2 linked regions of the Callithrix jacchus genome follow. The protein of the gene in region 1 interacts with the protein of each later gene in a biochemical or structural test. Links are inferred from orthologs where the notes say so. Each region holds a gene or a part of one and is shown in the gene's direction. Other genes may lie near its edges.

Region 1 (3,825 bases):
TTATCCAGGTAAGTATTATTTTTTGTAAGTTACCTCCTTCCTTTCCCCTTAGAGTGTGGTACATTACCAGTAATGATGTCACATGACTAACACTGTTTTTCAGAATCCAGTGGACACACACAAGGACTATAGTCTGTTACCACTGTTAGCAGCTGCCCCTCAAGTTGGAGAAAAGATTGCATTTAAGGTATATTTAAAAACAACAGTTGCAGCAAAAAAGGTTCATACCACTTCCAAATAAACTTACTTAGCAAATCAGGTTAAATGTATTTGTGAAAGCCCTTCCCGCTGGAACCCCAGTGTTACCATGGGTTCATGGTAGGGCTGCCAGAGGTGGGGGTGGATACCCCAACATTGCACGATGGAGGAGCTGTGGGAATGTGAGAGTATAAGATGGCTTATGGCCGTGTGCGGTGGCTCACGCCTGTAATCCCAGCACTTTGGGAGGCCGAGGTGGGCGGATCATGAAGTCAAGATATGGAGAGCATCCTGGCCAACATGGTGAAACCCTGTCTCTACTAAAAATACAAAAATTAGCTGGTGGCAGGTGTCTGTAATCCCAGCTACTCAGGAGGCTGAGGCAGGAGAATCGCTTGTACCCAAGAGGCGGAAGTTGCAGTGAGCCGAGATTGCTCCACTGTGCTCCAGCCTGGTGACAGAGCAAGATTCTGACTCAAAAAAAAAAAAAAAAAAAAAAAAAAAAAGAGGGCTTATGTATTTGTGGGCTTTTTCTTTTTTAGCTTTTGGAACTAACATCCAGTTACTCTCCTGATGTCTCTGACTACAAGGTAAGGATGTTTATTTAAAAGCAAGTTGTCAGTATATTAATAAAACTAAAGTCATATTTAGTACTACTTGTATGGATAATACAGATTTAGTTTTTACTAAATAATGCCAGAAAGTAGAATATGAAAACATTATAACAAAATGTTAACTTTTTAATAGTATCACTGTGGAGTCTCCCAGTGTTGTTTTCCTGGTACTTGGAAAGAATATAGTAGGAGAATGGTGTGATTAATTTTTACTTTTTATAAAAATATTAATTTTTTGTTTTAAATAGAGATGGGATCTCGCTGTGTTGTCCAGGTTGGTCTCAAACTCCTGGGCTCAAATGATCCCTCCCATCTCAGCTTCCCAAAGTGCTGGGATTATGGGCGTGAGCCACCATGCCCAGCCAGTTAATTTTTTTAGTTACTTTTTTCTAATTAGTTTTAGAGACACAAACTTACTTGGGTATTCATTCCTTCATGATTCTAAACTTTAAAAGAAAATAAATAGTTCTCAGCAAGAAGCTTGATTATTTTCATCATGGGAATCTATTTGACATATTTGTGAATTCTGGTTATTATGATCTAGTATGATTTCTTTTGCATTATCAGTTAACCACAGAGAGTTCATAAATATTACCCATGGAATTTACTTACTTCATATCTGTATGAGTCTTTACGTTGGCATGTGAGGCTTTTCATGGTTCAGTAAAAGCTTAGTCAGTGAGGTCACAGAATTATATGTTTCTCTCCTTTTTCACCCACAAAAATTTTGTTGAAAATCTTGTTAAAATGCGTACTTTCTTTTTTTGTTGTACTATACGGCATGTAAGACGGTTTTTAAGGTAATAATTGGTAGTGTTAATATAGGAACAAAGATAAAACACAAGGGAATTTGATTTAATCTGGATTGATGCCTTGGAAGACTTTTAACATCTTTGTAAAACCTTTCCTCAAAAGCAGGCTAGAAGAATCGGTTAATGAAGGGATCTGGTAGGTTAGCTCTAGGTCGTTGGTGTTCTGATTTTTATCTTCTTAGGCCCTCACTATCTCATGGATGAGGTGATCATATAATATATCACTTAAGTCAGGATACTTGTGAGTGAAAGGGAGTGCTATTAATAATTATGCTGGAAAGATATATACAGACCTGTCTTGAACACACTAGGGTGTCTTGTCACCCTACCACAGATTACTAATTTAATTGTGTGATATATGAGAAAATAGAAATTAATATTGTATTGATACATCCCACAACCTCTATAAATTGTCTAGATCATGCTGATTTTTAAAAATTGCATATTAACGACTAGATGCAGTGGCACACATCTGTAATCCTAGCACTTTGGAAGGCCAGGATGGGCAGATCACTTGAGGTCAGGAGTTCAAGACCAGCCTGGCTAAAATGACAAAACCCCATCTCTACTAAAAATACAAAAATTAGGCTGGTTTGGTGGCATGCACCTGTAGCTCTAGCTACTCGGGAGATTAAGGCAGAAGAATTGCTTGAACCCAGTAGGTGGAAGTTGCAGTGAGCTGAAGATCATGCCACTACACTCCAGCCTGGGTAAAAGAACAGGACTCTTAAAAATATATATATATTGCATATTAAATTGGTATTAGTCATCATAGTCATCATAGTTATTAACATTGAAAGGCGATTTGCCAACTTTAGTTCCCATAATTTGTTGAAGATTTTTGAAATTGCTGTCAAAATTATTTTAAGAATAAAAATTGGTCCTACTTTTTTGCTTTGACCTTAAACACAGTTATCCGGCTTGATCATTTGCTTTATTCATAAGCCTGTCTCTAAAAGTTAAATTAGTTAAATTCTGTCCTCAAAAATGTAGTCTCCCAAGCCCCTGACTCCCTGTTGAGTCTGGTTTTAAAAAAAGCATTGTTGACTGTGCTCCAAAATTCTACGTAGAAGCAGGAGGAACTAGTTGGTTGACTTTGGTCTGTACCCCTAGAGGCTACCATGTGTCTCCTCATTGCCCACATGCATGGGCAGTGTCTCCTCTTGATGCATTAGAAAATCAGCTTCCACACCTGAAGAAAGGGAATTGGGATCTTATCAGTGATTAAGTGCTTTCTAGTTTCTCTTGGAGGGATTATGATCTGTTTTAGAAGGGTACTAAAGGCTGGGCATGGTGGCTCACACCTGTAATCCAAGCACTTTGGAGGCCAAGGCAGGCGGATCACCTGAGGTCGGGAGTTCAAGACCAGCCTGACCAGCATGGTGAAACCCCATCTTTATTAAAAAAAAAAGGTACTAAAAACATCGGGAACCAAGGCAGCACCATTAGGGTTTATCTAGTCTCTCCTGATGAATGCTTTGATGGTCAGTTGACTGCGATAGTCACTTGTTTTTTGTTTTTTGTTGTTTTTTTTTTTGAGATGGAGTTTTGCTCTTGTTAACCAGGCTGGTGTGCAATGGCGTGATCTTGGCTCACCGCAACCTATGCCTCCTGGGTTCAAGCAATCTCCTGCCTCAGCCTCCTGAGTAGCTGGGACTACAGGCGTGTGCCACCATGCCCAGCTAATTTTTGTGTTTTCAGTAGAGACGGGGTTTCACCATGTTGACCAGGATGGCCTTGATCTCTTGACCTTGTGATCCACCCGCCTCCCAGAGTGCTGGGATTATAGGCGTGAGCCACTGCGTCTAGTCACTTGACTATATCGTCCTGGCGTGATTTTTCCTCCTTTTCCTTTATTCAGTCACTTTTGGTTCCTTAGTGTAATCTTTACTTTCATCGAGTTATTTAAGTTAGTGTCTGCCATTTATGATTTAATATCTATTTTGCCTCTAAGGATGTTTCTGTATATTCATGTAGAGTGTTTATCAGTCCACCTGTTTTTATTTTCTCTATATGTGGATTTATTTTTAAACTTTAAAATTGAGATAAAATTCACATAACATAAAAATCAACATTTTAACCATTTTAAAGTCTACAATTCAGTGGTTTTTAGTATATTCACAATGTTTTACATGTTGATTTTTGACTTGGACTTTTATTTTTGAAAGGAAGGAAAAATATTAAGCCACAATCCAGAGACC
Region 2 (3,825 bases), on another chromosome or scaffold:
TTAAACAGGTCTTTGTGTGACTCCCGTGAGGTGACCAGGGACTAAGTGGGTCAAAGACTGAGTCTGTAAGCTGACTGACGAGGGCACTGCTGGAAAGAACTTCCCTGGTGTGGATCAGAAGTGCCTTAGAGTGTGGTGACCAACCAGAACACAGTCTGAGTCTTGAGTCACCATTTACTAGTGACTTTACCCACTCCATTTCTTCTATAAAATGAGGTTGCTAGAAATGTCTCCTTTAAAAAGATAGCATTAATCATATGTCAGGCATTGATTTACTCTTTAGGTTGAAGCTCTTAAAAAGAATCATTATAGGTTTTACAGAAGTAAATAAATAGAAAGCAGATTATTCTTCCAGCCCCCTCCCTTGCCAGACAGCCTTCGTTTTTCTTGTAACTCACTGGAATTAATATGTATGTATGGCTTGGAACAATGTTAGCTGCTATCATTATTAAATTATACTGATATATATATATATGTGTATATATATATATATATTTTAAACTTGGGTGTTTTATCCAAGTCTCCAGAAAAGTATACATCAAAGGTTTTACTTTAAAATAGTTACTTAGAAATAACTTTCATTTTATTACTCAACGGCAGAGGTATCTTTCCAGAAGAATGTGGTAATGGTTCTATGAAATTTGTGGAATCGTGTTTTTCAGTTGATGTTTATAATTTAGGTATGGTGAAGAGATTAAGGGCTTAATTAGAATGGTGGTGGGGTGATTTGTGAATAAAAACAAAGACCTACATAGTAGAATTTATTAATAGACCCATGTGGAATTAAGCAATTGTGTTTTAGCCCTCTTTCAGACTGTTACAGAGGTTGTGTTTTTGTTACCTGTGTATTACAAGTTAAGTATCTCTTACCTGAAATGTTGGCACCAGAAATATATTAGATTTGGGATTTCGTCAGGATTTTGTAGTATTTGCATTAATACCTACTGGTTGAGTATTCCAAATCTGAAAATGGGAAATCCGAAACGCTCCAGTGAGCATTTCCTTTGAGCATCGTGTTGGCACTAAAAAATTTTATAATTTTAGAGCATTTCTGACTTCAGATTTTCAGATTTGGGATGCTCAACCTATATTATAATTATTATACACATCACCTATTTAGTAAAAGCCAACATGTATATGTGCCCTGGTCTCATCTCTCAACCTTTCAAAATCTGTTATACAAAGGAAACCAGGAACTCAAAGTTGCCATTTTCACCTTTATTATCTTACAAGCCAGCGTACTAGAAAATCTTACATGAATGAATGTATTTTGCCGCTGACTAACTTTATAACTTTGGACAAGTCACTTCACCTCCAAAGACCTCAGTTATTTTATTTATTAAAGGATGTTTAGAAAAGATGATTTTCTAATTTCCTTCCAGTTCAAAAATGAATAGAGTTCTAAGTTTTTTTTTGTTCAGAATCTTGTCTTTTAATGTTAGTTTAACTCTTCCCTCCCTGTTGAACTTGTCACATTGCTATCATAGAAGCCTACAACATATAAATGGGGGTTTTGTATCCTCCTGACCTTTATTTAAGTATATGTAGTGCAGTGGTTAAAAGCATGATTTGTCACATACTAGAGGACAAATTACTTACAGTTTTCTTCTGCTGTAAAATGGGGCTGATAGGAGTGATCTGCCTTCTTATAGATGTGAGGTTTAAATGGCCTAATGACCTTTTAAGTACTTACAGTAGCGCTGTGCTCATAACAGGTGTTCAGTAAATGCTAGGTGTTATGGTGTTGATGATGTATAGCCTTCCTCATTGGAAGATGTCCTGATACATTCTGAGTGTGGTTTTGGTTTTTATTGATTTACTGAATGATTTAAGCAGACAAGTTAGAATCTGGAAAACTGTTGAAGATAAAAGTGATCTTCAGAGCAGAAGCTGAGCAGTGTTACTGCAAATAGGTGATGCTTTTCTGTAGATACTAAAATACAATATATGATCATTGAATCTGAGTTTTGGGTGCTGGAAGTGCCCTTAGAAAGGGCGAGTCCCTGTTTTCTCATTTTACTTCTGTGGAAATTGAGGCCCAGGGAAGTAATGTGACTTGGCCGAGGTGACATAACTGCTTTATGGCAAACCAGTTATCTTCACATTTTCCCAGGATTTTCATTTTTCCCCAGATCTAGGCTATTGAATGTTTAATGTGCAGTCCTTTTACACCATTTAAACAATTTTACTGAATCTAGCTCTTGTTAAAGCATCTCACGAGAATCTTGGTTTTTAGCAGAATGTTGTTACCTTAAAAATAGAGAGAAACAGTCACAGGAAGGAAGCTGATATCCAGAAACATTAATTAATTTTAACTATGAGAAAAATCATGGCTGTCATGTTTATTCAGCTTATTTTATTTTTACTGTGAATAAAACTTTTGGGTTCTCTGTGTGAACATTATCTTAAATTGAATAATACTCTCCTGTAATTAGCTGAGACCAGGAAGAGGCCCTCCAGGTAAAAAGCAGGACCTGAAAGCACTCTGAACTCTTGAGATTTCTAGTTGGGAGAAATTGTTGCAAATGTTTGTATTTCTTTTTTAAAAAACACTTCCTTACTAAACATTGTCTTGAAAAAAATTTCTTTGAGAGTACTCATTGCAAAGTTGGTTTTCTCGATTTGTATTTTGTTCATTGGCTTTTCATATTTGTCTTCAGTTACAGGTTTATGATAATGGATCGCTTTGGGAGTGACCTTCAGAAAATATATGAAGCGAATGCCAAAAGGTTTTCTCGGAAAACTGTCTTGCAGCTAAGCTTAAGAATTGTATGTGAGCTACGTTTTTCTTATTTTTTAAAAAATTGTTTTTAATACAGTAAAGGCTAGTTTATGTTGAAGCTTGGTCCTCTGCTGGTTGGTGTTAGGTACTGCATTAACTTATTCTGTGTGATACTTTATAGCTAGATATTCTGGAATATATTCACGAGCATGAGTATGTGCATGGAGATATCAAGGCCTCAAATCTTCTTCTGAGCTACAGGAATCCTGACCAGGTAGTTTTATAACTTTAATTTCTACTATTTAAAACATGTTGTTTGAAAATAAATATGGTTGCTTTGAACTTTTGAACCTATGTAGAAGTTTTACTTTTTGAAGTAGATGTGGTAATAATATTTCTTCTTGACACTTTGATCTAGTTAACATTCTACATTTTTGATGTGATTTGTTGGCACTTTATCAAGTTGGCTATTTTGCCCTAAATAATATTCAGAAGAAGTGCTTGTGGTACAAAATGAATTTCAAATAGCTATTTGGGGGTGGAAGCTTAAAATTATATAGTACACCAATGAATTATGTTTGCCTGTCTGCTTTGTCACTTTTTTTTATTCCTTTGTTCAAGAAATCCATCAAATGTAAGTGTTCTATTACTTGGAAAATTTGGTCTTTAACATGTTGATTATTCAAATCAATTGGTTTACAGAAATATCTTAGCTGTCTAAATTTGTATACCCTTAGTGTTTGGAATTCAAATGTGCATTTTTTTTAGCTTTTACATTCCCTTTGTAATTTTTACTTTCTAAGGAAAGGAGAAAAGCTTATAATAATATACCTTTATTTAGGTCAGTTTAGTTGGAATAGAGGGATCTATACAATTTTCCTGTATAGCTGTTTCTGTGATTTCAGTGAAATTAAGGTTTAGTTGATGTTCATACTTAATGCGTGTTCTCACTTCTTACTTGATCTTATACAAAAAGGAAGATTTGAACATTTTAAATGTGTTTGGGTGGAAATTGAGGCCCAAGGAAGTAATGTGTTTGTATTGTAATTATTTGTCAGTAGCTGTACTTCATTCTTTCTCTCAAATTTACCTTTAACTGCCTT

Evidence for each region.
Region 2: of the proteins of COIL (region 1) and VRK1, one has a biochemical effect on the other in vitro, tested with the Homo sapiens proteins (2 studies listed by BioGRID and IntAct, with this or other methods). The link is inferred for Callithrix jacchus from reciprocal best matches to the Homo sapiens genes COIL and VRK1.

The regions. Positions count from the first base shown.
Region 1 is NC_133506.1:109,392,324-109,396,148, forward strand, and holds part of COIL (coilin), read left to right. Parts: coding exon 1-8; intron 9-103; coding exon 104-187; intron 188-740; coding exon 741-788; intron 789-3,792; coding exon 3,793-3,825. UniProt on the Homo sapiens protein: Component of nuclear coiled bodies, also known as Cajal bodies or CBs, which are involved in the modification and assembly of nucleoplasmic snRNPs.
Region 2 is NC_133509.1:131,688,019-131,691,843, forward strand, and holds part of VRK1 (serine/threonine-protein kinase VRK1), read left to right. Parts: intron 1-2,660; coding exon 2,661-2,769; intron 2,770-2,903; coding exon 2,904-2,996; intron 2,997-3,825. UniProt on the Homo sapiens protein: Serine/threonine kinase involved in the regulation of key cellular processes including the cell cycle, nuclear condensation, transcription regulation, and DNA damage response.